Elephas maximus indicus: one gene and its partners. The protein of the gene in region 2 purifies or fractionates together with the protein of the main gene of each other region. This does not show direct contact. Links are inferred from orthologs where the notes say so. Each region holds a gene or a part of one and is shown on either strand. Other genes may lie near its edges.

Region 1 (7,848 bases), on a different chromosome or scaffold from region 2:
TTGAAGAGAAGTCTCACAGTAGCGTGACTTGGACTCCTAGTGAAACAATTTTCAGTTTTACCACTGAAGCATACCAGGAAGCATACATATTCTAGTTTGGGAAGGAAGTGGGGGTAGACCAGGGGTTTTGTCTTACATTGTACCTGTGTCTAGCCCACTCTGTCAAGAATTCTTCTTTGATTATAGTGACTTTTTTATTTTCTCTTGGGGACCCTCTGAAATACAGCTTCCCCAGCATATGCTCATCAGACATGTCAATCAATGTCTAAACCCCACTTTTGGACAAGATCCAAGATTTTTCCCACATAAGGGATGAAATCAAAAGATGTGGCTAAATACCTGTTTATATGTTCCAGAATGTTCCTTGAGAGTGAACAGCTTATTCAGCTTCTAGTATAGGATGATGTCACCCAACTCCACACGATGGTGTCTCTGAGTCTTAGCTCCAGCCAAGTCAAGATGTCCTGCTACACATAAAAATCATGTGGTTTTATAGCTCAATAATATGCAGTCATAAAGACTGTTTCTACACTTATTAAAAATATGACAATCTTTCACGATTTAGCTAGCTCTACTAAACAGCTATTGAACTGCTTCCTTTCTTTGATTAAAAAATACCCAGTTAGGAATCGGTCAAACATTTAAAAATAATTTAATATATAGATAGCATTTAGAAAAAGAAAATCTTAGGGCCAAATACACTAAACTTGGAATCATGGACTAATTCTTTTTTGCTACGTCTGGTTAGTCTTTGGCATTTCTTTTGTTATGAATGGTTACTATCACAACACTTTTTTCTCCTAGCATTTGAATTTAAATGGGTCATTCAAGGCAAAAAGAAGCCTATCTACTGAGCTTGTCCTGGAAAGCCTGTGGAGACTGGGAATAGAAAGTCGGAAGAGTGATGCCTCCCAGTCAGCGTTGCTGGAGTACACGTTAGGGTGCTACAATCATTCTCCCCTTGGCATGAAAATCTCCATCAATCTGAGGAAGGTCCATATGCTATGATACCAACCTGTAGCTAGAACAGCAGCTGCTCCTGTTGCAGGTACATCTCCTGAGTCCTTCTAGGAGGTGCTGAAGGCACCATAAGTGCCAAAAGGCCAGGAAAACAAAATGCTATTTTACTCCTATCCCCAGGAGCCCCAAGGACGTGAGCTCCTACCTGCAATGTGACTTTCAAATAAAAAAAGCAAGTGAAACACCCTTGGTATCCAATAGGGCCATGGATGGAAGTACTTAGATATGGAAAAAAAAAAAAGTGAAAACCTTATATTTTCTCACATCAACAGAACCAATAGGATAAACTGGAAAAGGAACAGATTTTCAGATGGAAGACCCCCAGTGGAACTGTTGCATCAGTTAACTAGATAGGTCACCCTGGCCAAGGTCCCTCAATCCTTTTAAATCACAGTTTCCTAACCTGGAAAATAGTGACAATAAACCTGTCCCATTTATCTAACAGGGCTGCCGTGAGTAGGTAATAACGTAATTCACGTGAAAGCATTTAGTTCAAAAGAAGTCTATCTGATGCTAAATCCGGAATACCTGCCTATGGGGGTCTCTCGCCTGCTCCATATGTGTATTCTTCTTCTTCATTCTCCCCTCCTCATTTTGAGGTTCATTCCCACCTATGATGGGCTCATCTTCACACTGTGACTAGTCGTCCTCCAAATTTAACCCCATTCACCAAACCATCACTGACAATAGGGGTGGGGGATCCACATTTAATCCTTCCAGGGACAAGGGTTGACAACGGTACTGAATCCTTGGCCCGTAATGCCTGGCGTGGTGACGCTGCGGGAAATCGCCTCTTAGCCCAAACCCGCCCTGGTCACAGAGCAAGGCCAGATCTCCCTTCTGAGCCTCGGATGGGTGGGCATCATTTTCGCAAAATTTTGCCACTGTAGGAAAAGAGGGGGGCTGCACTCGATCAGAAGCAGAGATTGATATACGGTAAGAAGAGGACAAGAAGAGTAAGCATCGACGGCGTTACTGACACAAATCAAAATGACACCTGAATGCCTACCGACCCGGTGGTCACGGCTGAAACACCCCCATAGAAACACCACACCTCCACACAGTTGCCCCTCTTGTCCCCAAACGCAATTCTCTGCATTCTATCACAGTGCGCACCCTGCCTCCTAGTCCCCAGCGGATGCGCACACACTAACACCACAAGCACGTGGCGTCTGGCCCTGCTCTGGCGCAGTGCGCAACAGGGGCGGGGGAGACTAGGCGGGGTGCTCGGGCGTGAGGAAGGCCTGGAGATTTAGGGAGTGGGCTTTATTCTACGTATTTTCCCCTTTGGAGAGGGGCGGTGGAAGATATCAAATCAAGACACTCTCCTTGGCCCTTCTTGGCGCAGGGGCGCAGAAATATTACATGGGGCCCTCAGGCAATGTAGCGGGTCTACACCCTCTCTGTCTTTACAAGTGGCTGCACTGGAATCCGCAGACTGCACTCCTTGCTAAAACTCCCATAAACCACAGGCTTAAGTCTCTCTTTATACCTCCTCATTTGCTACGCCCCTCTGCATTTCTTCTGAACACGTTGTGCACCCCCCACCCCTGGGGATACACCAAGCAAGAATGTTCTCGCTTCATCCTTGCTCCACGCAGCCCACCAAGGCCCGTGGGTGACTGGGGCTTTGGTTTTCCGCGCCTCGGATGGCACCCTATTCTCCGCACCGCCTGCCATTCCCCATTCCCACTGACGCCCCCCAGTTGTCCTGACTTCTGCCAGATTGTCTCCTTTTCCCCATCCATCAGCAAATACCCCGGGAAAGGGGAGGGATCCCAACCCGCGGAGCCCCCAGCCCGCGGTTCCATCTCCGCAATGCGGTGAGAGGGAGAGGCGCCTGGGCCAGGCAGGTGGGGGAGAGGAGGGCAGGGGACCAGGGGCTGCGTTTTCGGGTCGTCGCCTACGCATACCCAGCCCCTCTACTTACCCTAGCGCCGGAGAGCGGTCATCAGGCCCCGCACTCGGCAACCGTTAGCCGGTGGTCTGGCCGCTTCACTTCCGGAGCGTGGGGCTCGAGATGGCGTGGCCCGCCCCTCCCCTCCCCTCCCCTCCTCGGCGCCCCGCCCCGCGCCCCCCCTCCTAGCGCAGCTGCAGGGAACAGGCTGCCTCTCGGCTCCCGCAGCCGCAGCGGCCGCCCTCCCCGGCCTAACTTCGCCGCTCGCCGGAGCTTGCGCGGAGGCTGGGGGCGTGGGCAGGGAGGGGGAGAAAGCAGGGCCAGGGGGAGGGGCTGGGAGGGGTAGACAGCCCGCTCCAAAGCCCTCCTTCCTTTCTGTACACCTTGCCTTAGGCAGAAAGAGACATCCGTGGCAGCAGCGGGGGATTTTTGCACAGATAGTGGGAGACTTAGGGACTGGCAGACAGACAGACAGACGGAGGAAGAGGACCCTTCCCCAAGCCATCGCGCCATGGCTGAGAGGAAGCAATCCGGGAAGCAGGCAGAGGACGAAGAGGTCCCTGCCTTTTTTAAAAAGCTGGGCTCAGGCAGCCCCAAGCCCCGACAGAAATTCTGTGGCATGTTCTGCCCGGTGGAAGGGTCCTCGGAGAACAAAACCATCGATTTCGACTCGCTGTCGGTGGGCCGGGGCTCGGGGCAGGTTGTGGCTCAGCAGCGGGACGTCGCCCACTTGGGCCCCGACCCGCAGCCGCCGTACTCCCGGCAGGGCCGGCGTGCCGGCGGGGAGCCATCTGTTGAATCGAGCCGGAAGGTGGAGATCCGTCGGGCCTCGGGCAAGGAAGCCCTGCAGAACATCAACGACCAGGTTGGTATGGGAGGGCGGAGGAGATGAAGGACGGGGCGTGTGGGAGTTGCCTCTCCCTCCCGGCTCCGTGGAGACCCGAGAATCCAAGGGTACCCTCTTTCCTGCTCCTTCTTTAATGTTGCCTCTCTGCATATGCACACATACCCCACCCAACCTGCCCCTTCTCCGCCCAGGGTGCGGAGAGGCTCGTCGGTGGGCGGCTGTACGCCCACAAAGGCTGCCCGCACCTCTCTGGATCTGGGAGGTGGGGGATGGGGGGGGGTAAAGGACTGGCTGATTCCCGGCCCGGGGTTGCGCGGAGGGGAGTGGGCCGCGGTTTCATTCTTCTTAAATCCTCCCGGGCGGCTTCCGATTGCAGCTGTGGCTGGGTGCCCCACCCTTTTTTGATGCAGCTCGGAGCGTGCGGAGGAGGGGTTCGCGTGAAGGCCCGTGAGTTCCCTCGGGTTCGGGAGGGGTCGGGGCTCCGACCACCGCTCCCTGCCCGCTCTGCGCCCTCTCTGGCTGCACCTTCTTGGGCGCCTGTCGCTCTCGGGTACCGAGATCGGAGGCCAGCACCATGGTCAGCGCCTCTTCGGCTCGCCTAGGAGAATCTCACCACCCTTAACTCCTGGTCGCAGCGTGAGAAGAGTGAGGGAGAATGTGGAGTCACCCGAGGAAACCGAGACGCTTCTCAATAGCCCATGTGGAGAACAAAGTTCCGCTAAGTGCCTCAACAAGGGCTTCCCAGAGCTCTCCCTCTGCCGCTATTTGGGAGGTGCTCTGGGAATGGGAACTAAGTGGATTATGTTCAAAGGGTAAAAAAAGGAGGAAGAAAGAAACCCTCACATTTTGAATAGCATGTCAAAGAAGATTAGCCCTTTTGTACTGTAAATGAGTCAAACGAAGTCCAATTTGGTAAACCTTGATTTTAGAAAATGTTGGCCATTATCTGACAAATATGAACAGTGCACATTTTAAGTACAGTAGCTTTTTCACACCCCAGCTTTTTCTTTAACTGGGTGACCTTCATACTCGCACATTTTTTCCTCACAGCCTCAATTTCTCAGCAGATACTCTACAGTGCAAAATGTTTCATCCCTTGTTTGCTGTTTCTCCTGCACCCGTTAGGTTTAGCTTTCTGTGAAGATGAGACGTTAATTAATGATTATTGAATACCTATTGTGTGCCTTGATTTTGGGGCAGGAAGGTTAGCAATAAAAACTTAAAGGCAGTTTCTTTTCCTCACGGGGCTTCCAGAGTGGTTGGGAGTGGCCTGTTCCTGTTCATTGTGGGGTTCAACAAGCATTTACAGTGTAAGCATTTTAGAGAACAACATAGAGTAGGTGGTAATGGCCCTAGAATGGTGCTCCTGTTTCCTGATGTGGCATTGAGTTTTGCAGCTTTTGACTTTTATAGGAACAAGTCTAACGAAGTTAAAGCATTTGCGATCATTTTCATAATTTATACACTCCCCCCAGCTCTGTTCTCTGATGTTTTCATATAGGAAAGTATCTCATACACATATTTTATCATGAGTCAACCAGAAGAACCCAAATCCAGAAAATTCTCTTTGTTGCAAGTGACAAGACAATTGAAGCAAAAGTTTCTAATTGTGTAACCTAGACTAAAAGCTGAAAGTGAAATACTTTCCTAGATGAATGCATTGGGTGAGAGCCAAGCTTATATAGCGTTATCGTTATGTGAGTAACCTCATGTACAGCAAGTTGTCCTGGCAATTCTAATATCCTAGAGGGAGCAGAAGTATATTATGGAGAATAAGGAAGAGATCATTTATAAAATGGCTTTTGGGGGGTGTTAAGAGTGGCTACCCCATCATAAAAAAAACAGCAAATTAAAACTCAAGTCTGAAAGGCAAAGTTGCAATGAGTTAAATAACACATCTCTTTCTCCTGTCCATTTAGAAGCTTAGATGTTTGATCACAAGAGCTACTTGTTTGAATACTGGCTGAATTTAATAGAAATTCTAAATTGTATACCTATGGTACATGGAGGGAGAGATTTGAAGTGATAACATCCAACCAAAACCAGGGCATTTTTAGCCTCAGCAAACCTCAAATCAAATCCCGCTCCAGTTGCCTGAATATTTGTAGTAGGGAGATTCTGTCTTGGCCTACCTGTAGCCCTCCCAGAGTTTTCATCTTCAGTCTAGACTTATAGCATAAAGACTGCTCCTGTGGGATTATTTTCATTCAGATCAGGAGCATTTACCTGGATTGGTGCTTACAGTGTTCAATATTTCGTGTCTGTACAAGAGGAAAAAGGCATTTGGTGTGCATGTATGTACATGGATATAACTGGTGATTTCAAGGAGCCCTGGTGGCACAATGGTTAAGCATTCAGCTGTTAACTGAAAGGTCGGCAGTTGGAACCCACTAGCTGCTCCATGGGAGAAAAGACCTGGCAATCTGCTCCTGTAAAGGTTTCAGCTTAGCAAACCCTATGGGGCAGTTCTACTCTGTCCTATAGGGTTACTAGGGGTTGGAACCGATTTGACAGCACACAATAATATAGTGATTTCTGAAAGCACAGCTGGGTCCACCATTTTGACCAAATTGACTAGTCATCACTTAGTTTTCAACTAATGAGTAGGGTGACTCCCAGCATTTTAGTGCATTTCTGTAGGAAGGCCTGGCACAGAGAGAAATGGGGGAGAACTAGAGGGAATGAATCCCAGGGTGCCTGATTAATGCCCTTTGTCCTCCCCTGAATCTGTATTTATAGGTGTTGCTAAGGCATGGTTCAGAAGAGGCTTTGCCCATGAGCCCTTCTAGGGGTCCTGCTGTTCATTTAGCAAGGCTTTGGGAAGGGAGGAAACCCTGGTGGCATAGTGGTTAAGAGCTACAGCTGCTAACCAAAAGGCCGGGCAGTTTGAATTTACCAGATGCTCCTTGGAAACCCTATGGGGCAGTTATACGCTGTCCTATAGGGTTACATTTGGGATGAGAGACTTCCCCACCTGAGCTCTAAGTCGAAGAAAATTCCCACTAGCTAAACAGCCTCTTCCGTCTTTCCCCCTTGTAGCCCAAGGATAGAGAGGGGAAGTGCTGCCATTGAACCTGTTGTCATTGACATCTGGTCATGATATCCTGAATGTTGCATAGTACACATACTTATGGCTCTGTGCCATGGAAGTCAATGTTAGCGTAGACAGTTTTCCCAGCCCCAACAAGAACAGGCCAGGATTTCTTAAGGGACCTTTAGTGCAAGTGCCCCTACTACCTCCTTGAGAAAGAAGGGAAAGTCAGAACTGATCATAGATTTGAATATACACTACCATTGAATGTCAGATCTCGAAACAACCTAATGATTGTTTAATCATCTCATTTTGGAGGTGAAGAAAGTGATGTCCAGAAAAACAGTGCTTCATTCCATTGCACTGAGGTGACAGCCCCAGCACTAGAACTGAGGTCTCTTGCTGTTCATTCCCACCGCTGCCCTATACCAGCAAAACCTTATTAGTTATGTAGCATTACATAACTTTAGAATGGGCTTTTATATTTCTTGATTCTTTATTTTAGAATGTACATAATATATTCTTTTAAAGCCTTGTCTCAACACTGAGATAGGCATTATTTCCTTTCTATAAATAAGGAAACTGACAGTAGTATTTGGGGACTTACTCCAAGGTCTTGCTATTTAGTAAATGCCAAAACTAGCATTTGGACCAAAATTTCCCGACTAAGTCCCATATTTTTTCCAACATGCCATGCTGTAACTCAGATCCACTGCCAGAGATATTTAGTGAACTCTCAAGATACAATTTAGTTTCACAGGCAAAGTATTTTACATCCCATTGAAACTTTGTAGATCCTATGGGGTAGGCCTTATGCTAAGTGCTTTATATGCACATTTTATTAGTTCAAAAACAACTCTATTAAGGAAGTACTACTGTTATTTTGTAGAATAAAAATCTGAAGGCAAAAGAGGCAAGTAACTTGCTAATTAACAGCCAGAGCAGCTGGGATTTGAACCCAGTGCCATGTAATTAGAGAGCTTCTTAATCATGGTGATGTACTGAATTGCTTTCTATACTAATTATTTTCCTTCATTTTATCGCCAAAGAACT
Region 2 (7,976 bases):
TTGCTTGCTCTTCTCCAGCTTTTTCAACTTCTTCCAATGCTAGTTCTACTTCTTGGGCTTTCATCTAAACATTAAAAAAAAAAAAAAAAGTTATTTCAGTGTCTTAACACTAGCTATAGCCACTAAGAATAAGGATTTTGTTTTATTTACCATCCTAATTCTCAGTGCCTTCAATGCCTAACACATAGAGACATTCAGTAATTATTTGTTGAATGAATACATTAATGATTTTCTTATTGAAAATTATAGTTTCGAGATTCTTACCAGTTGGAAACACATTTGAGTCTTCTTTTTCCCTCAAGATTTATGTCAGTATTGCAACTTTTTCCTTTACAAATTTCTTTACTACTTCTTTTTTCAATTTCAGTTCTTAATTCTAACCCATTGTGTTATGTCTAGCTTCAGCATCAACTCCCTTCAATTCATCCTATGTACCAAACCCAGTTTATCCTTCCTAAGGTATATTTTTGCATCAATTGTGGTTCAAAAATGTCTAATGGCTCCTCATTGTTGATAGTTTAAAATATATCTTTAGGTCTTCCATAGCCTATAAGAAACTATCCACTAATGTCTATTTCCTCTACAATCTGCTACATGCTTTCTGCGGTTATCTCCTTCAATGTAAAGAATAAGCATATTATCTATTCTGCCTTTATTTACAGTAACCCCCAGCTCTAGAATGCCCTTGCCATCTTACCATACCCCTCTACTTTCCTAAGACTAGTTATTATCCTTTATTAGATTCCCTCAAACTTTTAAATCTCTCCCCCTCCTAACAAATTCCCATAGCAGTCATTGTCTGCATTATTCATTTGCACCTCAGCACATACTTACTTACCTTTAAACATACTCATTGTTTCCCCTATACATTCTTTTAGGAACATTACAGTACGAAACTGCAATGTTTTACACACTGAAGGCTCTCAATCACATGGAGATATTTTTGAGTGGCAATTTGTTGTGTTGTTGTATGCCATCGAGTTGATTCTGACTCATAGCAATTTAGATTTCACAAAGTACTTTCACAAAGATCATCTTATTTAAGATAGTAAAAAGTATTAAGCCTATTGGATACAAACCTTCATTAGGGACTGAGTAACTCTGAAAAGATGTATCAAGCTTTCTTGACTTTCGCTTTTTATTTCATTTATTTCCACCTAAGTAAACAAACAAACAACTTTAACCCTTAATCAAAATACAAGAACTCTTCCGGTTGCACCATTCAATGATGTCAGTGACAACTTAATCATACACATACATAAACAACAAAAAAAAATGTACATCCATGTGTTATTTATCAATTAAGCACCTTGGATAGAGAAATCAACAAATTATCTGCCAGTTCTTCTTGCCGAGGCAGGTCATCTGGGTCAACTTTCATTATATCTTTCCAGTTTATATTAGGTGGCATGTTGAATTCTTTCACCGTGCTTTACCTTCTGTAACAAAACCGGAGTATCAGATTTTCCAAAGTAAACAGCATTATTGACTCACTATAACTGCCTGAGCTAGTTAACGAAGAGCTTTTGCTGCTTAACTGCAAAACAGTTAAGTAGGCAAAATAACCCTGATCAGAACTACAGCAGACGACTAACGCAGTCAGAAGAAACTCTTGTTCCTGCTAAATAAAATATGGCAGCTTTCTGGCTAAAACTAATTCAGGTCGAGGGTAAGATTCTGGGTCCTCTGCCTCACCCTCTCCTACCACCAAAGCGCGCGCACATCCAAGGGTGCTAAGCGCAGAGGTGCAGTAAAGGCTAAAAAATGACCCCTGGCTCGCATTAGTAGTAACTGGGTACAAAAACCGCGTAAAAAAAATTGGTTACTATGAGCGCAGATGGACCGGGGAAACCAGGGCTGAAACAAAAAGAAGGCAAAAGAATTGCAGACCAGAGGTAGAAGAGACGGGGAAGCTGAGCTGTTGCAAATGGGCCCTGAGGCCAAAAACCTATGCAGAATTGTAGCTCCCGCTCACCGGGAGCCACCCACCTAGACCAAGCCTGGGATCCACCAGCGGCCCCTCATTTATCGCACGCACCAAACCGAGCCCCGCTGCCGCGCCCCGATCGCTTCTCAGCGCGGTTCCACCCGGCCTCTTGGTTCCGCCAACCGGTCCCGAGCAAGCAGAAGCGGCAGCCGCTGCTAGGCGACACCATTCCCCACCCAGCCAAGGCCAGAGCAAGGTCCCGGATGCAAGGGGAGGCTACATTTCACGGCGGTGAATGATGCTTTACGTTCAGATTCCCCGGGCGGGGGCGGGGGCGGGGGCGGGGGGGTACATCGACTCGGGGTTAAGGAGCAGGAGAAGGAGTGGGATGAAGACTCTAAATCCCGGCGTGCAGTTCTGCTCGGAAGCATGTGTACGCTGGGAGCTGAAGTCTCTGGGATGTAGGGCGTTCCCAGCGTGCAGTGCGACTATACCAGGACGGCAGGGGTAGGACCAGGAGGCTGGAGGCGCGGTGGCTGAGGCGCGTCGGCGCTGGTGGACTGAGCGAGGTAGACCATGACTGTGGCGTCGGTAGCGTCACTCACCGGGCCGCTCTTCCTGAGGTTTCCTTAAGCAGCCATCGGTGGAGCCGCTCCCAGGTGAGGTCGAGCTGTCGGTCCGCGGCGGGGGAGGGGTTGAAAGGAGCGGTCCGGATTTACAGAATCTCCTACCTTTGCGTCCGAAGGGCCCCGCCCGGATCTGAAGAGGAGTTAAGACCCCGCCTTCTCAGATGTTTGCCAGCGGCGCCCTGGGTGGTGCCTTCTGAAAAGAAAAAAGAAAAAAAAAAAAAGTTTTACCCTTTTTTGGCATCGGAATCTCTCTCCATACAGTGGAGTGGGGGCAACGCTGCCGAGACCTTGATTTGGGGTTACTGAGGAATTGAGAAGCGGACACCGCATTCTTCTGACCCTACCCCCTTACCTGTAGCACCTTTTCCTGCGCGCATTGAAGGCTCCAAGGTTAAGGAGCTAGGGTAGAGTGAAAACTCGAGAGCAAAAAGGTTAGTACCTATCCAGGCTAGTGCTGGGGTTTAGAGAGAAGAGATCTTAGTCCTGCTTCTGTCGCTTGATAACCGAGGGGGCTGCCCTTTTATGGTAGCGCTTGTCGGGCGTTCGTCGCTGCTATTCCTATTAAGTTTTGGTCCATCTCTGTGCTTTCGGCCATACTGGACTAAACAAACCAAATCTTTGCGGTTGAGTCGATTCCAACTCAGCGACTCTATAGGACAGAGTAGAACTGCCCCCATAGAGGGCCTGGTGGTTTCGAACTGCGGACCTTTTGATTAGGAGCCGTAGATCTTAACCAGTATACCATCAGGGTTTCTATTCTGCAATAAACAAAAAAAACCAAACCCACTGCCGTCGAGTCATAGCGACCCTACAGAACAGAGTAGAACTGCCCGATAGTTTCCGGGGAGTGTCTGGCGGATTCGAGCTGCCGACCTCTTCGTTAGCAGCCGTAGCACTTAACTACTACGCCACCAGGGTTTCCTATTCTGCAATAAAAAATCAATAGTAGACTGGAAATTGAAATGACTTTTCCAACTATATGGACCAGTGCTTCTCATCTGTACTTATTTTTTTATGACTGATAGTATTTTGAAGATAAATGATAGATTTCTGTCCAAACCACGTTTGGGTAATAACAAAAAATTAGCTCAGTAGAAAATAAAAACAGGTAGTGATTTTGTGAGATAAGTTTTAAAGACAAGTTTGTATTAAAAACCAAACCCACTGCCATCAAGTGGATTCCGACTCTTAGTGACCATACAGGACAGAGAAGAACTGCCCCATAGGCTGTAATCTTTAGGGAAACAGACTGCCATATCTTTCTCCCGCGGAGCAGCTGGTGGGTTCCAACTGCTGACCTTTGGGAGGAATGATAATTTTGTGTAATCCTTTACTAAAAGGTTACATGCCAAAAACTATCCATTTTCTCACTTAATTTTCATAGGAATGCAGTGAGATACGTGTTTATATTGTCCTCAGTGGTGGCGCAGTGGTTAATTAAGAGCTGGACTGGTAGCCAAAAGATTGGCAGTTGAAATCCACCAGCCAATCTTTTGGCTACCAGTACAAATCCAAAGCGAAATTGTACTTAAATGTCATAGTTTAACTGATTCTGACAATAAACTTGAAGTTGTACGCTCCACTAGGCACTGGGGATACAGCAGAAAACAAGTTAGCTAAGGCCTAGGTTCTTATGTGCTGCAGTCTCTTTGTACCTAGCTATAAAAAATCAGGAAATTTAACTCAAGTTCTAGTCCAGTCACTCAGTATGTAATTTTGAGGAAAATCGCTAAAACTCTTCATTACTTTTCATCTAATTTTCTTCATCAGTCAGTTTTCACAAAGAGAAGGGATTTATGTTTCAGTTTAATGAATGGCCTTCTTATAGGAACACTTGCTTAAAAAATAAATAAATAAATAACTTGCTTAGACCTGCCTTTTTTCTTCCTTAGGCCTTTATGAAGAATTTTTTCTGACCAAAATCACTTCATAAGAAAGATTTGCCTTTTATAATTGCTACCTCTGTTTTCTCTACCAACCAGCCTGTATTCCTTAGATGATTTTCCATATACTTTCAGCTACCTTCTCAGAAAAATAGGGTTGCTATGAGTCGGAATCAGTTCCCCGGCAACAGGTTTTTGATTTTGGTTTATCAGAAAAATGAGTGGTTGCTTACTTTCCCAGTGTCTAAAATAAAGCATGGCCATAAGAAATTTAATATCCACTGTTTATAATAAATGTTTTGTTTCGCCTTGTTCTTACGGGGAAGGATGAGTTTGCAACAAGCTGATACTTGTCTTCCCACAGCATGAGACTGGAAAGATTAGTAGGAGTCACCAGACATGCAGACTTTGCAAACTTTGCAGGCCTAACAAAGTTTTGCAGACTTTAAAAATAGAATGTAGTAGATTGCTCTTATTGAATAAGATGATATAATCACAATGGAATCCTTAACCTGGGAGAACTTTCCTTTCCAGACTAAATATTCCCAGATTCATATAAAAATTTTTATAGGTTTATTTTTTTCTGATAATTATACTGTAATAATTTTTGGATCATTGCAATGAGTGAACACTCAGTTATGTTGAAGGCATTAAATTTTGTATCTCTATAATTCATGAGTAATCTTCACTTGCAGTTCGAAGTTATTCTGTGGTTCAGGTGAAAAGGACCAGTTCTCTGGTAGAGCTGTGTCTTGGCTGTCCAGGGTCCCTTATAACAGGAATACCACAAGTGAACGTCTTTAACAGATGGCAGTTTATTCTCTCACAGTCTAGTAGACTAGAAGTCTGAATTCAGGGTACCAGCTCCAGGGGAAGGCTTTTTCTCTCTGTGGGCCCTGGAGGAAGGCCCTTGTCATCAATGTTCCGCTTGTCTAGGAGTTTCTCAGCACAGGGACCCTGAATCCAAAGGATATGCTCTGCTCCTGGCCCTACTTTTTTGGTAGTATGAGATCCCCCTCTTTCTACTCTCCTGGCTTCTCCGTTTTATGTTTTATATTTCAAAAGAGGTCGATTTAAGACACAACCTAATCTTGTGGATTGAGCCCTGTCTCCTTAACATCACTGCAGCTAATCTCACCTCATTAACATCATAGAGGTAGAATTTACAACACATAGGAGGATCAAATCAGATGACAAAATGGTGGACAATCACACAATACTGGGAATCGTGAACTAGCCAAGTTGATGCACAGTTTTGGGGGGAACACAATTCAATCCATAACAAGTTGCCCCCTGCTGAAACAGATTCATTCAAAGAAATGCTAGAATACTTGAGAAAAAATCTGCTCCCAGTAAAATTTCAGGATATAGATTTCATAAAAAATTAATTTGATAATTCTTTGAAAATGCAGTAAAGAAAAAATTTTAAATGTTAGAGAAGATAATTATATAGACTATTGGTCTCAGATATTGAAGTTCCTGGTAATAAGTATTCTTAAAGATAAGAACATAGAAAATGGAGCAATGGTAATAGGAAACGTTCATGATGAAGAAATATTTAAATTTGTATTATTAAATGTAATTAATTGTCCATTGAAGGATGTTGTTGCCAAGTGAAGGTATTTGGTTTTACAATTTGCAGTCCTCTATTTATAAACTGACTAAAAAAACCAAAAACCAAACCCATTGCCATTGAGTCTATTCTGCATCATAACAACCCTATAGCACAGAGTAGAACTGCCTATAGAGTTTCCAGGGAGTGCCTGGTTGATTTGAACTGCTGACCTTTTGGTTAGCAGCTGAACTGTTAACTACTCCACCACCAGGGTTTCCTATAAAATGATTAGTGATGTGGAAAAACAAATCATAGCTGTACAGGCAGTCCCCAGGTTACAAACATCCTATTTAAGGAAAACTCGTACTTAAGAATGGGCTGGCATAAAACCTATTATGTTAATTTGAGTTAATACAGTGGTTCATAATAACGAACGCAGGCACTACTTTGTGACGCTCATGAAAACATTGTGCTGTTTGACAGTGGTTTTTAAGTGTTTATGCATAGAAAGGTAAAATACATACTATATAGGAAAACAAACGTTTGACTAACTGATGCTCAGTAAGAACCATGTGTATCTGTTTCGACTTACCTACAAATTCAACTTAAAGACAGAAACGAATCTCGTTGTCTAACTTGGGAACTACCTATAATAAGATATATAGTGACATCCCGTTTTTGTACCAGATATAAACCAGTGATCCCAGCCACTAACATTATATGCGTGTGTGTGAATATGCTACCGTGCCTGGAAAAAAGAAAAGTTCACACAGCAAACAACAATGGTGTGTTACACTGTTATATAGTAAGTAGTCTCCCAGTGTCATGCCTTCCTCTATGCCCTTGTTAACCTCCCCCCTCCCCCACTACATACGCATATACACGCACAAACACCTCAGCTCTTGCAGTTTGTGTTTTTGGACAAAACCTAAGATGATTACACAACTAAGCTCACGAGCGTGCCCTAAAACTTTAACTTTCTCTCATATTAAGCTCCCTTGGGGAATCTTCAAAAATTCTATTGTCTTGGCCCACTAGAACCTCTGCCACATCGCTTCTGGGTTTAACTTAGTTGATTGATAGTAGCAAATTTGAAATAAGCAAAGGCTTGAAAAGAGTTTGCGCATTGGGTGGGACTTATTCTCCTATCTGCTCTAAGATCACCATTTAAAGAAGCCCAGGCTAACCTACTGGTGAATGTGATTGAGCAGAGATTAGCTTTCCAAGCTGAGACTCCTATCCTTCAGACTATCCAGCCCTAGTCCGGCCAGGGGATAACTGTAGCCTTGTTGGTGGTCCCAGTCAAGACCAGTAGAAGAACCACTCAGCTGAACCCAGCAGCCCAAATTACTGAGCCACGACATTATAAGCTTACATTTTTATTTTAGTTGTCATAATAGTTGGGGTACTTTACCAATATTTAGTGAGTAGGCATGAAGAGTGTACATCTTGCAGTGCCATCCCCTCAGTGATGATTAGCACCTCATTGATAAACAAACATGATGCTTCTTAAAACTCATCCACTCACCTGTACAGAGGTTATGAAGGGCAGAGATAATAGAATTTTAAAATTCCCCAAGGGAGCTTAATATTAGAAAAAGGGAGAGAGAGCTGGCTCTAGTGTAGGCTCATGAGCTCAGTTATGGAGTCATGTTAGGTTCTGTCCAAAAAAGCAACCTGCAGGAACAGAAGTTGGGGAAAGAGGTGTAGTTATAAATAGACCTTAGTAAGAAAAGCTGAAAATATTACCAGTTTACAAGGAGACAGTAGGGACTTTCTGATGTAGCGGGATGAACTGAAGATAAAAGAAACTTCAAGGAGCAGTCCCCAGTAATAGGGGTTTTTATTCCCAAGAACCCTAACACTCATGAAAGTCACAGCTTTGAGTATAGCAATCAAGCACCATATTTTCTCCAAGTAATGTGCCTACATAAATTATGGGCCCACACGTATAACACACACAGCACGCCCAGAAAAATAAT
Region 3 (6,965 bases), on a different chromosome or scaffold from region 2:
TTAATGAATGTATGTTGAAAGAATGAATAAAGGCATGAACCTTGTATATTCCAAGACTCAATTTCCTGACCCTCTGCTTTTTTCCCTGTTACAGTATGGGAACCTCCAATTTCTGACAGGAAGTCATTTCGAAAGAATAAGATGGGCTTCAAACATAGCTCCTGCCCTCCTGGCTAACATAGTAAAACGTAACTGAAACATGATCATCACCAAACATCTGTGTGTAGGGCGCTATGTTAGATGCAATGGTCACAATGATTAATGATGTTCTAGTTGGGAAAGAAAAGGCATTTAACTATCTATAAAATACAATATCTTAAGCACCAAATAGATAACACAGATGATAAGATAATAAAGTCAGAGGACTGGTCTTCCCTGAACCAGTTTTTTAGACTTATAAACAAAGTAGCAATTCCCATCTCCTAGAATAATTAAGGAGCCCTGGTGGCACACTGGTTAAGAGCTCGGCTGCTAGGCTGCTAACCAAAAGGTCAGCAGTTTGTACCTACCAGCCATGCCTTAGAAACCCTATGGGGCAGCTCTCTAGGATCGCTATGAGTCAGAATCAACTTAACAGCGACAGGTTTTTTTTTTTTTTTTTTAAGAATAATTAATATACAGAAGAGAAGAGAGCCACCAAGGACGGCCCTCAAATGTTCTGACGGTAGAGCTAGACATTAAAAACTACTTGGAGAGCTCTTATTATTTGCCATTCATTTTTCTAAAAGTTTTCATATATTAACTAACTTAATCCTCTCAACAATTTTTAAGAGATAAACAAACAAACAAACAGCCACTGCCATCAAGTTGAATTCCGACTCGTAGGGACCCTATAGGACAGAGTAGAACTGCCTTACAGAGTTTCCGAGACTGTAATCTCTACGGAAGCAGACTGCCATATCTTTCTCCCATGGAGCAGCTAGTGGGTTTGAACCACGGACCTTTCAGTTAGCAGCTGAGCGCTTAACCACTGCGCCATGAAGGCACCTATTCTAAGAGATATTATTTTTTCCCTGATTTTAACAATAAGCAGCCTTAACTTTGGAGAGTTAATTAGTTTGCACAAAATCACAATGCTAGGTATGAAGCCAGAGTTCAAACTCAGAAATTCTGGCTCCAGAACCTGAGCACTCAGGTACAGTCTTAAAACCAAGAAAAACAAAACCCATTAGCCGTGTGTTGATTCTGACTAGTAGCAACCCTACAGGACAGGGTGGAACTGCCCCATAGGGTTTCCAAGGAGCACCTGGTGGATTCGAACTGCCGAGCTTTTGGCTCGAGGCCATACCTCTTAACCACTATGCCACCAGGGTTTCCTCTTAACCACTCGTAGGCCTTACAAGTGTAGAAATTTAGACAAGCAGATAGGCTGAAGGAGACATTCATCTATTCATCTAGAACAATAAATCAGGGCTTCAAATTGTTGGAAGCCCTGATGATTTGCATTTCTAACAAGTTCCCAGGCAATGCTAATGCTGCTGGTTAAGGACCAATTTTGAGAACTACTAGTAGAACAGTGGTTCTCAAAATTTATTATACACCTGGGGATCTTGTTCAACTGTAGAGTGTGAGTCAGTATATCTGGGGTGAAGCCCTGGTGGCACAGTGGTTAAGTGCTCTGCTGCTAACCAAAAGATCAGCAGTTTGAATCCACCAGCCGTTCCTTGGAAACCCTATGGGGCGGTTCTACTCCATACTATAGGGTCACTATGAGTGGAAATCCACTCAACAGCAATGGGTTTGGTGGTTTGGTATATCTGGGGTGGAAATGGAGCCCTGGTGGCACAGTGGTTAGGAGCTACAGCTCCTAACCAAAGAATAGGCAGTCTGAATCCATCAGCCTTTCCTTGGAAACCCTATGGAGCAGTTCTACTCTCCTATAGGGTCGCTAGGAGTCAGAATCAACTGGACAGCAAGAGGTTAGGGATGGAAATGCATTTTATCAGCAGGGGTCCAAACCAGAAGGAACCAGTTGGAAGCCCTGCAATAAACTGGCCAATTTGGCTGTGGTGGAAGTAAGGGAGTTCACTTTACATAACTACAATGAAGAATGATCAGCGGTTCCCTATGAGTCGGAATCGACTGGATGGCAGCGGGCTGGGTTTGGTTTGGTTTTGGGAACCATTTGTAAAGTTTCTTTTGGGTGCTTTTCAATTTGGCTCCAAAGCAACACTTCTCCCATCTTTACCGTTAAATTAATAAGCTCTGACAGAAAAAAAACATTGTGGCAATTATTTATTAATTTACGGATGCTATTTTTTTATTACCCTGTTGCCAGACTACCAGCTCCAGCCCCACTCTCGATCCTATAGGAGTCACGTATTTTTATCCCTATAGGATGCCTGTTACTGCATCCACGGATCACTGTGAAGTAAACGAAAGAAGGCAAGTGATCCCAAACGTCTACAGTTACCGTCTCTGAATCCTCTTTCTTCCCTCCGTCCACTTCTCCTCTCCCAGGCCTAACTCCACCAGGCACTTCCTCAGGAACACAGAGGTCCGAGAAGGGCTGCTCAGGTAACGGCGTCGTCTGCCCTCAGGTTCAAGGACCGAGGCTCTGGGGTCCGCGGGCTCATTTACTCAGGGTTCCAGTCCCGCCTTTGGCGCGCCCAGACCTTGGGCAAGACACCAGGCCTTGTGCCCAGATACAGCCCCATCCCGGACCTCAGTTTCCACACAACCGGTTTCCGTCGAGTCCACACAAGTAAGTACTCGGTAAAAGGCCCTTTTAACATTGAGCAAAAAGGGCTGAAGCAGGCCGAGCCTCCGGTTAAGAGCGCCGACATACCTGGTTACTTGCCCCAGGAGCCTGGCTTCCGGGCCTCCCGGTATCCAGGGGTCCTCTCCCCGCCCCCGGGCCAGCCCCGGGCCAGCCAGTCCGTTACCTCAACTTCGCTTCGGGTTCCTCCAGCCCGGCCTTCTCCCACCGCTCGCCTCAGAGGCGCGGCCTTCCCGGGCCAGCGTGCGTCGCAACGCGGGATGGGCTCTGGAGGCGGGACCAGACGCCTCCGAGCCAGGGGGCGGGGCGCCCTTCGCCAGGCAGCCAATCAGCGCGCGAGCGCGCCCGCTGGGGCCGCGCGCGTCGGGCGGAAGGCGGGGCCTGCCGTGGCTGCGCTCGCAGCTGCCGCTGGAGCTACTTGAGGCTGAGGTGGCAGATGGTAGCGAGCCCGGCGGCGGCGGCAAAGTCGCAGGCAGAGGATAATGATGAATGGAGCGGCGGGACACTTGCACCTCGGCAGTCGCGAGCGAGTTCTCAAGTTGGGCGAGACTTTCGAGAAGCAACCGCGCTGCGCCTTCCACACTGTGCGCTGTGAGTGGGTATGACCCGCGGGAAAAAGGAGCCTCCGGGATGGGGGTGTGGGCGCAGAACCCCTCCGAGTTCTGGTCCCACCGTCCCCTGAATCTGCTGGACAGTGGGGGACCCAGCTGCCCTGCCTGGACTCCAGGGGGGCCGGAAGAAGGAGCTGGAGTCCAGCAGGTGTGCATAAACCCACGGAAGAATTTGAGACCAACAGGCAGGAAAGTGAAACTTTGTGGAGAAGGGCTGCGGAGGGGACTGTGAGACGTGACGGGTGGCTGAGGCAGAGGTGGCAAGGCAGATAATAACGTGACAGTTAACAGGGTGGCAAAGAACCGAGCTCTTCTCCATTGTGCCTGGGGAAGGGACTTCCTTGAGGCTGGTGGAGAAATCATCTCTTTTTCTCGCCTCTGGCTGGTCAGGGTCCTTATTTAGTGTGTTCCTGGGAAGAGGTTCTGAACCATCCCAATAATCTGTATTTCCTTGGGACTTCTGATTTCAGTCAGTTATCAAATATTATCAAACTATTGGACAGTGTGTTATTACATTCTTTATTCGGAAGGTATTTACCTCCCTGTGACTTCTACCTTTTGGTTTTCCTGTGTCTTTTGCAACTAGTTTTTAGTCGTTCGCTTTTATGTTGTTGAGGTTGAAAAGGGAACTCCTGCTTTAGTATTTGACTGATGTAGATTAGAGGAAGGAATGTTGCGTATTATGATTTTGTATGTAAAATTTCATTTTTTTGCATAATAACCCTCAGAATTAATTCTAGAGCTGGAAGGAAACTTTGAGATCATTAAATCGTGACCGATCATTTTTCTGTGGCAAATTGCAAAGTAGGTATTTTTTTCACTTCCTTTATTCACCTTTGCCCAGCTTCTAAGTCATTCTGCCCTGGCTCGTCTAGAGACCTTTATGGTTTTCGCTTTGAACTGGTCTGTGTTTCAGCCAAAACTCCTAACAAAAATTTACATTCTCCAAAAATTTACTTACATTGTGACTGTAGGAACTTATTTTTATTTAAGCAAAATATTCTTATTAAAGGTTTTTTTAAGAAAAATTATTTTGCTGTGTATAGTCTCAGTAACAACAACAAAATAAATAAAATTTAAAAGAAAAATTAACATCCAATTGGTAGAATAAGCGGGGGAGATGTTCATGAACAGAAGATCTTCAACGGTGCCGTCGTTTATTCTTCTTTACCTTACTCTCTGGTCCAAAGCTTCTCGCAATGAAACAGCGGGTAGTGCTGACTGCAGTTCCTCTGCCTCTTTAATCTCATTTTCCAAAAGTATGATATGGTTCTTACCTGGTTTCTCCATGTCTTTCTTTCAAGCAGTGTCTCCCCTCTCCTTTTCTCTTTCTTCTCAGGTATGTTGTAGTCTTTATACACTATAGGCTGTTGTCCATAGTATTAATTTTTCAAATTACTAAGTTTAAGATTATAAAAATTTGCTCAAGAATATTTGTTCCCATAACTTGGGTATATACTCTCTTTTTAAGGACATGAATCACAAATATAAGTAAATAAAAAATAATCTTTGAAAAGCACCGTTGCAAGTGCTCTAAAGCCTTTCATTTATAAAGGTTCACAAAATGCTGGAATTCTGCCTTCAGTGTAAGAGAATAAGTGAAATAGGTCAATGATCCAGCTGCAGGAATGAAAATAAAACAGCAACAATAGCACCCACAAAAAAAAAAAAACCCAGATATTTGAGTATCAGCTTAGTCCAGTAGAAGCCATTAGAACGGTTTTCAGCCCTCATTTTTTTCTTATTGTTGAAGTAGGCATAGCAATTGCACATAATCTTTTTGTAGTTGTTGTTAGGTGCAGCCGAGTCCGTTCCAACTCATAGTGACAGTGACCCTGTTCGCAACAGAACAAAACACTGCCCGGTCCTTCCAAGACAGATTTGTTCGTTCTTTTGGCAGTCAGTGATATATTCAATATTTTACGTCAATGCCACAATTCAAAGGCATCAATTCTTCTATGGCCTTCTTTATTCATTGTCCAGCTTTCAGATGCGTATGAGGTGATTGAAAATACCATGGCTTGGGTCAGGCACACCTTAGTCTTCAAGGTGACATCTTTGTTCTTCAACACTTTAAAGAGGTCCTTTGCAGCAGATTTACCCAATGCAATGCATCTTTTGATTTCTTGACTGCTGCTTCTATGGCTGTTGATTGTAGATCCAAGTAACGTGAAATCCTTGACAACTTCAGTCTTTTCTCTGCTTATCATGATACTGCTTATTGGTCCAGTTGTGAGGATTTTTGTTTTCTTTATGTTGAGGTGCAATCCATACTGAAGGCTGTGGTCTCTGATCTTCATTAGTAAGTGCTTCAAGTCCTCTTCACTTTCAGCAAGGAAGGTTGTGTCATCTGCATAACACAGGTTGTTAATGAGTCTTCTTCCAATCCTGATGCCCCGTTCTTCATACAGTCCAGTTTCTCAGATTATTTGCTCAGCATACAGATTGAATAGGTTTGGTGAAAGGATACAACCCTGACACACACCTTTGCTGACTTTAAACCAAACAATATCCCCTTGTTCTGACTGAACGACAGCCTCTTGATCTATGTAAAGGTTCCTAATGAGCACAATTAAGTGTTCAGGAATTCCCGTTCTCCGCAATATTATCCATAATTTGATATGATCTACACAGTCGAATGCCTTTGCATGGTCAATAAAATACAGGTAAACATCTTTCTGGTATTCTCTGCTTTCAGCCAGGACCCATCTGACATCAGCAACGATATCCCTGGTTCCATGTCCTCTTCTGAAACTGGCCTGAATTTCTGGCAGTTCCCTGTTGATATATTGCTGCAGCCATTTTTGAATGATCTTCAGCAAAATTTTGCTTGCGTGCGATATTAATGATATTGTTCTGTAATTTCCACATTCAGTTGGATCATCTTTCTTGGGAATAGGCATAAATATGGATCTCTTCTACTCGGTTGGCCAGGAAGCTGTCTTCCATATTTCTTGGCATAGACGAGTGAGTACCTCCAGCACTGCATCTGTTTGTTGAAACATCTCAGTTGATATTCCGTCAATTCCTGGAGCTTTGTTTTTCGCCAATGCCTTCAGACAGCTTGTACTTCTTCCTTTAGTACCATCGATTCCTGGTCATATGCTACCTCTTGAAATGGCTGAACCTCAAATAATTCTTTCTGGTATAATGACCTTGTGTATTCCTTCCATCTTTTGATGCTTTCTGTGTCATTTAATATTTTCCCCATAGAATCCTTCACTATTGTAACTTAAGACTTGAATTTTTTCCTCAGTTCTTTCAGTTTGAGAAATGCCAAGTGTGTTCTTCCCTTTTGGTTTTCTGTCTCCAGCTGTTTGCACATGTCGTCACAATAGTTTGTCTTCTCGCGCTGCCCTTTGAAATCTTGAGTTCTTTTCCTTGATCGTTTCTTCCTTTTGCTTTAGCTGCTCGACACTTGTGAGCAAGTTTCAGAGTCTCCTCTGCCATCCATTTTGGTCTTTTCTTTCATTCCTGTCTTTTCAGTGACCTCTTGCTTTCTTCATGTATGATGTCCTTGATGTCATTCCACAACTCGTCTGGTCTTCAGTCACTAGTGTTCAATGCATCAAATCTATTCTTGAGATGGTCTCTAAATTTGGGGGGGATATACTCAAGGTCATATTTTGGGTCTC

Evidence for each region. The genes of interacting proteins can lie anywhere in the genome.
Region 1: the proteins of CEP290 (region 2) and PNMA2 purify together in Homo sapiens (co-immunoprecipitation; 3 studies listed by BioGRID and IntAct, with this or other methods). This does not show direct contact. The link is inferred for Elephas maximus indicus from reciprocal best matches to the Homo sapiens genes CEP290 and PNMA2.
Region 3: the proteins of CEP290 (region 2) and IQCB1 purify together in Homo sapiens (co-immunoprecipitation; 8 studies listed by BioGRID and IntAct, counting the BioPlex papers as one, with this or other methods). This does not show direct contact. The link is inferred for Elephas maximus indicus from reciprocal best matches to the Homo sapiens genes CEP290 and IQCB1.

What each region holds. Positions count from the first base shown.
Region 1 is NC_064840.1:47,007,931-47,015,778, reverse strand, and holds the start of PNMA2 (paraneoplastic antigen Ma2), read right to left. Parts: upstream 3,021-7,848; 5' UTR 2,951-3,020; intron 468-2,950; exon of another isoform or gene 465-467; 5' UTR 340-464; intron 37-339; 5' UTR 1-36. Other genes in the region: DPYSL2 (dihydropyrimidinase-related protein 2), read left to right, coding at 3,429-3,782.
Region 2 is NC_064822.1:151,779,460-151,787,435, forward strand, and holds the start of CEP290 (centrosomal protein of 290 kDa), read right to left. Parts: upstream 3,021-7,976; 5' UTR 2,909-3,020; exon of another isoform or gene 2,750-2,908; 5' UTR 2,533-2,749; exon of another isoform or gene 2,304-2,532; intron 2,173-2,303; exon of another isoform or gene 1,990-2,172; intron 1,440-1,989; 5' UTR 1,412-1,439; coding exon 1,310-1,411; intron 1,158-1,309; coding exon 1,080-1,157; intron 65-1,079; coding exon 1-64. UniProt on the Homo sapiens protein: Involved in early and late steps in cilia formation. Its association with CCP110 is required for inhibition of primary cilia formation by CCP110.
Region 3 is NC_064819.1:12,353,630-12,360,594, forward strand, and holds the start of IQCB1 (IQ calmodulin-binding motif-containing protein 1), read right to left. Parts: upstream 3,021-6,965; 5' UTR 2,789-3,020; intron 1-2,788. Other genes in the region: EAF2 (ELL-associated factor 2), read left to right, coding at 3,202-3,310. UniProt on the Homo sapiens protein: Involved in ciliogenesis. The function in an early step in cilia formation depends on its association with CEP290/NPHP6.